2 linked regions of the Macaca fascicularis genome follow. The protein of the gene in region 1 purifies or fractionates together with the protein of each later gene. This does not show direct contact. Links are inferred from orthologs where the notes say so. Each region holds a gene or a part of one and is shown on either strand. Other genes may lie near its edges. The genes, in order: ANKRD17 and HOXB6.

Region 1 (4,566 bases):
CCGTCCAATGGGTACACTTTCTTACACGTATTTCTCCTGACTCATCTTCATAACAAATGACAAACCCATTGTTTAATACCATGTAAGACAGGATAAGGTATGTTAAAAACATAGAAATACTACCATAGCTGGTCAAAGTCAACATAATCATTCCTATATTATAAAAGGAAAACAAACCTGACCCACAAAATAAACATACCTACAAACTTACAGCCATTCTTCATGATTTAAGGAATTACTAAAAAGTTCTGCTTATTAGGCTGTATTCCAATGGACAAAACTACCTAGGTATGTGAAGTTTGCAGCAGAATATCCCAGTGAGTAGTGCATTCAACTATCATAACCTGGCTCTAAACCAGAGCTGAATATTTTCAGGAGAATTTAAAATTTTAAGTAATGGTATTCTGCCTACAGCTGCATGATTGTGTTACCTTGCCATTCAGTAACTATTTTTCTGAATGATGTCAGAAGGGTGATAAAAGGAAATAAATTATCATTAAAAAGTGTACAGGTCTGAGCCATTAGAAAACTTTGATTTCTACTTTTGCTACTACCCACCACAACCACCTTCCTCTAAACCTTGTTTTCCTCCTTTTTAAAACAAAGGGTTGACTTATCTGTAAAACGTTTCTCACCTTTGAGAAGAATCATACAATTGAATGATTCTAAGTACCGTAACAAATTTTATTAGGGATAAGGATCCCATCACATCTTTCTCTTCCTTGTTTCACATGCAGCCAGAGCAACACACTATTCTAAACATCCAAGTAGGCCAATATAAGTCTATCAATATAAACCTATTCTCAGAATCCAACAGGCTAAAAGGGAATAGAAACAAGGAGGGGCATATTTTTGTCATGCATACTTGAACACTTAATATCTCTACCTACGTAACTTCATCCAGTCTGAGATAAAAGAGAGTCTGGTCTTCTACAAATAGACATGTGTCAAATCCTTTAAAAGGTACTTCCCTATTTCAACAGAGACCAGGATTCAATAAATCCAATGTTCAGAAAACCAGACTTGCATCAAAATAAGTTCCATGTTTGTGGAAGAGAATAAATAGTGTTAGTTCTAGACGAATCAGTTGGTCTCCTCTTAGAACTAAGTTTAAAATCAGTCTTCAAAGCTGTTTTCCCTCTGCTGATAAAGATTTCCCTCTCCAGATAAAGATTTTTCTAGATTCTATTTCAGGAAGGAGACAAGAGAGTGATAAAAGAGCTAATAACTAGTAAAGCTAACTCAGTTGGTTGTCAGTATGGTATGTTTTACTGAGCCTTTGGGTTGTAAGGGCTTCTATGAGGAATAAGGTCCTGCAACGCCGCCTGTCTGTGGACCCAAGAAAAATTACAAAGTTATTATGAAACCAGATCACTAGGACAAACCGAGAGGCCTTCCTATTCCAACTCACCACAACCAGGCCTGGCTCCAAAGCCGACTCTTTGGCTGTCCCATAGTATGGGACAACAGGTCCTAGCTTAATTCTAATTCACTAACGAGACATTTGAAGACATGTATGTACGTGTAAGGATCAAATATATTTTTCATCCACTTACAAATGTATATGGTCATTTATAATTATTTAGAGTTACTGATAAATGTATACAAATACAGCATCAGCTCATCGAAAATCCTTGGAAGATCGAGGAAGTGAAGTTACTTCAGCAGCCAGGATAGTTACGAAAAACCCTGCAGAACAGTATGGAAAAGTACAGCTTCTCACGTGTCCCTCACATACACAAACACTTAGCTCTGAGTCCATTACAACCTTACGTCCCCCTCAAACTGCTCCCCTCCATCTCACAGCTGGGAGAAGTTGAACAACCTCCTAGTTGGTCCCCAAGAGACTCATCTACCTATTATTTTACTCCTCCCGCTTTGATCCCGATCCCGTCCCAGACTAAGGTGGCCCTACTGGCCCCAGGCAGATCACCCCCCCCCCCCACCCCCCGGCGTGCAAACTGGGAATCTAACCAATTCCCTCCATCCTTAACCATGTGAGCCATGCCATGATAACAGGCTGTTCACCAACTCTGTGAACTCCGTGGTCCTCCCACCCCCACGTGTCAGCTACCCTCCCCCACATTCCCACACCTCACGATTTAGGCCGAGGGAAGAAAGGGGGCAGTCGAAAGCCTGGCCCCTAAGAGATCAACCCACTGGAATCTGTCCCACTGAAAGTCCCCTCCCACCTTCGGCCCCTATCCCTTACAGTCCCTTCCTCCCTCCTTCCTTGGAAACCAGGCCCTTGCCTCAGAAACCTCCTCTTCCTCGTCGTCGTCGTCCTCTTCTTCCTCGCTGTTGTTACTGCTGGTGCCGCCGCCGCCACCTCCGCCTCCACCGCCGCCTCCACCGCCGCCTCCACCGCCGCCGCTGTTGTCGCTGTCGCTGCTGCTTTCGCTGCTGCTAGGGGGTCGGCAAGTCCGGTTACGCTTGGCCTTGTGGTGCTGCTGCTGCTGCGGCTTCTTCTTCAGGAGCAGGTCGCAGACTCGCACCATCCCACGAGGAGACGAGGCCGAGCGAGCTCCGCTGCTGCCGCCAACGCCGCCGCCGACCTCCGCCGCCGCGGGGGGGCCCGCCACAGCCGCCACCGCCGGGGGGCTCCCTTCTCCTTCTGCAGCCGTCGCCGCCGCCACCGGAACCGTCGCCTTCTCCATCCCCAGGGAAAGAGGGAGGGCGCGGACGGGGGAGGGGCGTGGGGGCTACGCTCTACCGCGACTTCGGCCGCACTGGGGCCGACACAGCAATCGGTGCCGTCTCCGCCGCCACCGCCTCGGTCACCTCTACTGCCGCCGCCGCCGCCGCTCCGCCAGCTCTCACCTCGTCTCGCGATACTAAGGGCGGGGAGCCTGACGATGGGAGGGAGGGAGAGGGAGGGAGCAAGGGAAGGGGGTGAGGCGTTTAAGAGGGATACCGGGTGTCGGGAGAACCAGAGAAGAGGAGACTAGAAAGCCGGGGAAGTGTGCCTGGGGCACGTTCCGAAGGGGAACGGCGGGGACAGATAAGGGGGGCGCGATTGCAGCCGGAGCGCCCGCGAGCTCCCGGATTTCTTCTCTTTCCTCTCTATTTCCCGCACACACAGCCCTGCAGCCCTCCCTTCTTCCTTCCTGGCTTGTGATTAGAACGCAGCCGCAGGCGGAAGTGCAGTGACGCCATCAGCCGTCGCCTGAGCCGTGGGGCGCGGGCGGCCGAAAGGCGAAAGTGAGATTTCGAGGGCCGGGTCTGGGGCCCCGCGGGCGCGCTGTGCTACGATGTGTGGGGAGTACGGGGAGGCTGGAGAGGAGCCGGCCCCGGGCAGTGTGAGGTGCGGAAGCGCGGTCCAGACACTTTGTTGACGGGAGGCCAGTCAGCCAGATCCGGGAGGTGGGGCCTCGTTCTGGACTGCTGTACGTAGTTTTATTCCTGGTCGTTTTTTTCGACCGCCAAATCTAGAGATAAAGCTTTGGATCATGAGAGATGGCGTCGTGTTGGGAAAAGAGCCTTCGTTACCTAAGTTTAAGCTTGGCTCATAGACATCCTCTACGAGTTTACACGTGTGTAATATGAAGGCAGTCGATTAGGAGATGTCTAAGATCATTACACCTCAAGTTTACGAGGGGAGGAAGACACGGGAAGGATGCGTGGTCTGTGCCAGACTTTGTAGACGATTCTCTGAATGACCCTGATTTAGCTCTTCTGGCCCTCTTAGATTCAACTTGGAAGCAGGCATAAATAATGATTATTGTCAGTATGCTTCTCTCGGAAGGAATATTGTGATGGGGGTTGTGGGTTCATTTTTAGGTGTCTAAAGAACTTTCAGGACTTTTGAAATGATAGTGGAGCCCATTGAACTCAGAATTATCCCTTTCTGGTCTAGTGGGAGTATAGTGGCATAAGGAAAATGAAGCAAACATCAAAGACAGATGTACTGGCACAAGATTAAAAGTATGTCTCAGCTGACATAGTTGCCATTTTAAGACTGCTAAGTTTAGCTGAATATGCCTGGATTTTTTTTTTTTTTTTAGCATTTTTTTCTTTTTAGCATTGGCATACCATATGAAATGTGGGCAGTTGCCAGTACTCTACAGAGTACCATGGCAGAATTGGCAATGACTAAATCAATTCATTCAAACAAAAATTCATCATGTGCCTACTGTGTGCATAATTTGTGGAATCAAAGTCTCTGTTTCCAGGGGCTTTACAGTGTAATAACTGCTATAGTAAATATATATGCAGAGTGGTAACCATCTGCCTATTCCTCTCCTACAGTCGTTGCTGAGTCCAGTGTAGAACAAAGCACTGCATTGTGTATCTCACCACTACTGATTTAGATTTTATAATTTCAGCTGCATCCCTCCCTCCTGCTTTGTATATTCTTCAGCATCTTTTTCTCCCTTTCCACTTGAATACTTTTTGCAGTCTTTAAATCCCAGCCCATTTCATTATATGACTTTTAACTTAGAACTTCACAGTTTTCCAAGTGCTAGAAATTTCCTGAGATTTCCTTTTCTCCAGTATCTAGGAATGAGAAACTCACTGTTAATATGTGAGATTAACGCTTCATACATATTCTAGTTCCAATACCCC
Region 2 (3,659 bases), on another chromosome or scaffold:
CAGTGGCCCCGTTTTTTAGTCTCCGGAGCCACAGGCCAGGAGCGGAGGGCCAAGGCTGGCAAAAAAACCTGGCCATGTGGACGGGCCAAAGGCCAGGGGTCTCTGCGAAGGTGAGCACAGGAAAGTGCTGCAGAGGCCCCCAGACTCGATGGCTCCGTCTCCGCAAGAGAGCTTTAGGGGCCTCAGTGGCTCCCTTAGTGCTGTGGACACAGGAGGAGAGGCTAGAGAATGAGAGGGAAACAGCCCCTCTCCATCCCCCAAGTCTGCTCGGGGAGAGGCGGCTGTGAGCCTCAGCACCAGGGAAACGCAGCGCTGGGGCCTGGGCAGGACTGATCGCTCCAGCCTTTATCTCAGCTGTAACTTCCCAGTCGAACAGGGCTCGCTTCAGCGGGCCAGGGCTCTCGCTTTTGCTGAAGAATTCTGGCTCAAGACAGATGGAGAGGCTGGGGGTTGAGGGAAGAGTGAAAAACGGCAGGGGAGGATTGGAGGTGACCCAGCGTCGAGTTTTCACATCTTTATTATTGTTATTATTATTATTATCATCATCATCGAAGTATTTCACGTCCCGAGCTAAGACAAGACTACAAACACAACACATAGAAAATTAATAAAATAGAACTTTGTTTTCTTCTGAGGCTCCTCTTCTTACTTCTAGGTAGTATGTGCTCCTTCCAGTGGCTTTGGGGAGGGGGTGGGAGAGACGACAGGTCTGGGATCAGGGAGTCTTCAAGGCCTCCGCTGAGGGGACAGCGAATCTACCATTGAACCGTGCATGGGGGACATGGACGAAATGAGACGCGACAGGGACAAGAGCATTTTGCTCTGCTTCCAGGAAACATCAAGTGAGTCCGATCCTCAGTTCTCACCAGGAAGCCTGATCAGGCTGAGGCGAGTTCCTCGGGAAGGAAGGGCGCGCAGGGTGCTGGGTGGGCTCGAGTAGTGAGGCCTCAGAGCACCCACCGGGAGCTGTGCGGGCGGGGGCGTCCAGGAGAGAGCTGGGCCTCGCCTGTCGTGCGCTGGAGAGCAGGTCTCCTGGCTCCCCCACCCGAGAGCCTTCCTTCCCGGGTCTCTCCGACCCTCTCGGCTCCCCACAGGCCTTTCCCCTCGCGTCCTCCCTCCCTTTCCAGCACCTTCACTCGGCCGGTTTTTCTTCCTCCTCCTCGGCACTGAGCTGAGACGCGCTGAGCAGTTTGCTCTCCTTTTTCCACTTCATGCGTCGGTTCTGGAACCATATCTTGATCTGCCGCTCAGTCAGGCACAGGGCGTGCGCGATCTCGATGCGCCGCCGCCGCGTCAGGTAGCGATTGTAGTGAAACTCCTTCTCCAGCTCCAGCGTCTGGTAACGCGTGTATGTCTGGCGGCCTCGCCGGCCACTGGGCCCAAAGGAGGAACCTGTTACGCAGAGTGGAGATGCTGAGGCCTGGGGTCACCGGGCCCAGGGCCCCCTCCCCTAGTCGACCCTCGAACACAGACTCCAGCCAGTACAGGGATACCCTCCACTCTGCCGGTTCCCTTCCCCCCTTTCGCACTCCTCCAGCGCCCCCTCCAGATTCCCTCCTGGTCTCCTAGGCCTGTGCCGTCAGTCTAGATGGGGGAAGGGAGGAGCAGTTTGAACTCCCACCTGAGCCTGGGGGGAGGGGCTGGTCAGGTGTGTCTCTTCCTAGTTGCATCTTGTCTTTCCCTGGCTTTCCATCCATCTTTCTCCCCAACCCCCATTCCGCCAACCCAGTGATAAATCCAGGCCCTTAATCCGTAATGACGTAGATCGATCCATAGTCCACATTAACGGCTCCTCACTTTCGAGTCCGGCTAATGGACATCAGTTGGGACTTAAGGCCAACAAATAATCCAACCTGAGACCCCGCGCCTGTTTCTTCCTCTCTCGCTCCGCCTGCTCCCTCTCTCTTCCTTCCCCTTATTCCTCCTCCCTCCTCTGATTACCACTCCTTTCCTGGTGCCTCATCTTGCCCCAGCCCCCCACCCTCAGGGAAACACAGTCCCAGTCAGACTCAACTCTTCCTCTTCAGCGTCACCTCCTACCCCCTTGCATGACGCACTCCGTTTTTAATGGAGCCGTCTTTGGTTGGGGAACCCTACCAGGGCTGGGAGAGGGGGGCTGGGGGCGCAAAGTAAAGCCAAGCCCGTGATTGCGGGCCCCTGCTCCCTTTCCTGTCCTGGAACCCCGGCTCTGGCCAGGGGCCCCAGGAGAGCACACTCGCTCCTCATTACTCCCAGTGCGGCTGAGACTTTGCAAACTTTGTAACTCCTGCCTAATAGGAGACACAGCGAGAGATCCCGGGCAGGCACCCAATCTTCTTCTATCTTCTAACTGAGATGCCCACCCAGCACCCTGTGGGAGATTGGGGCAGGGGGCGCTCACTAGTTCTGTGTCCCGGGGTGGGGGCCCAGGGGAGTCAGGGCTACGGCGACGGGAAGTCTCACTCACTGTTGCACGAATTCATCCGCTGCATCCACGGATAGACCGGAGTGGAGCACTTCTGCTCTTCTGTCTCGCCGAACACGCTCTTGTCCTGCGCGCAGTCCGACTTCCGCGGCTCGGGGTGGAACGGGGGCGGCTCTTCGGCGCCCGAGAGTGCGCAGGCCGACTCCTTCTCGCGGTAGAAGGCCGGCGCCGGCCCGTAGTCGCAGGGCGCCGCTCGGCCGTAGCCACCGCCCGCCGGCGGGTAATAGGAGGAAGTGGCAAAGCCCTTGTCCTGGCCCGGCCCTGGCCCATAGGGCGCGGGGTAATGCCTCAGCGGGTCCGCATAGCCCGACGAGTAGAGCGGTAGCTGGCCCAGGAAGGACTCCTGCCCGCTGGCCAGAGTGACGGGGAAGGTGGAGTTCACGAAATAGGAACTCATTGGGAGGGGAGGCGCGCGCGGCCGCTGCTGCTCCGCCGGGTTTATGATTTGTTGTGTTTTATAGTCCGAGCGCCGCGCCTATTAGTAGTATATCCGAGATTGGGTTTTAGCTGAGGGGGGATGGCGAGGTGCCAGTGAGGGCCAGAAGGAAATACAACCATCTGATCCAACACTGACCAATGGCAGAGGCAGGAATTGTCAAATAGCACCCAGGAGGAGCGCAGCCCGCACGAGGGACCCGCGCACAAACCTATCAACCTTTTTTTTCCTCCTTCTCCTTCGCCTTTCTCTCTCTCTCTCCCCAACAACACAGCGCGTCCTGTTCCACCTACGTAGGATCTGTGAAACAGGCTCTGTGCCTTTGAGGGAGGAGGGAGCGTTTAGATTGAGACCACCCCACTCCTGGGTGATTAAATAAATATATCTCTCCCCCACCCCACGCAGGATTGGAAAAAGTTAATTGTGTTTTCAGAAAAGTTAACCCCTGCGTTGCTTGGGCCCCTTCTCTCCAGGGAGGGGTGGGTACATGTCTCCGAATCTCCTTGAGAGAGAACTAAAGAAGATTTGTTTCTAGGGTTTTGTGTCGGTAGAAGGTGAGAAGAGTTCTCCGCTAAGACAAGCAAAGAAGAAACACCCTCCTCCCCAGGTTTTGAACATCGTTCTTCCTGTTTATCAGATCTGATCTCTCTCCTCCAAGCCTCGGGTTATTGTTCCTGCTTCTCCACAACCCTTCTGTTCTGAGGGGGCAGGCCAGATCCCACTGCCTAGAAGACCCAGAAGAGGAGGAGCTGGCAGGAG

The links.
Region 2: the proteins of ANKRD17 (region 1) and HOXB6 purify together in Homo sapiens (co-immunoprecipitation; 3 studies listed by BioGRID and IntAct, with this or other methods). This does not show direct contact. The link is inferred for Macaca fascicularis from reciprocal best matches to the Homo sapiens genes ANKRD17 and HOXB6.

Annotation. Positions count from the first base shown.
Region 1 is NC_088379.1:60,726,031-60,730,596, reverse strand, and holds the start of ANKRD17 (ankyrin repeat domain-containing protein 17), read right to left. Parts: upstream 2,819-4,566; 5' UTR 2,658-2,818; coding exon 2,253-2,657; intron 1-2,252.
Region 2 is NC_088390.1:58,121,356-58,125,014, reverse strand, and holds the end of HOXB6 (homeobox protein Hox-B6), read right to left. Parts: intron 2,972-3,659; exon of another isoform or gene 2,940-2,971; coding exon 2,447-2,939; intron 1,393-2,446; coding exon 1,133-1,392; 3' UTR 502-1,132; downstream 1-501. UniProt on the Homo sapiens protein: Sequence-specific transcription factor which is part of a developmental regulatory system that provides cells with specific positional identities on the anterior-posterior axis.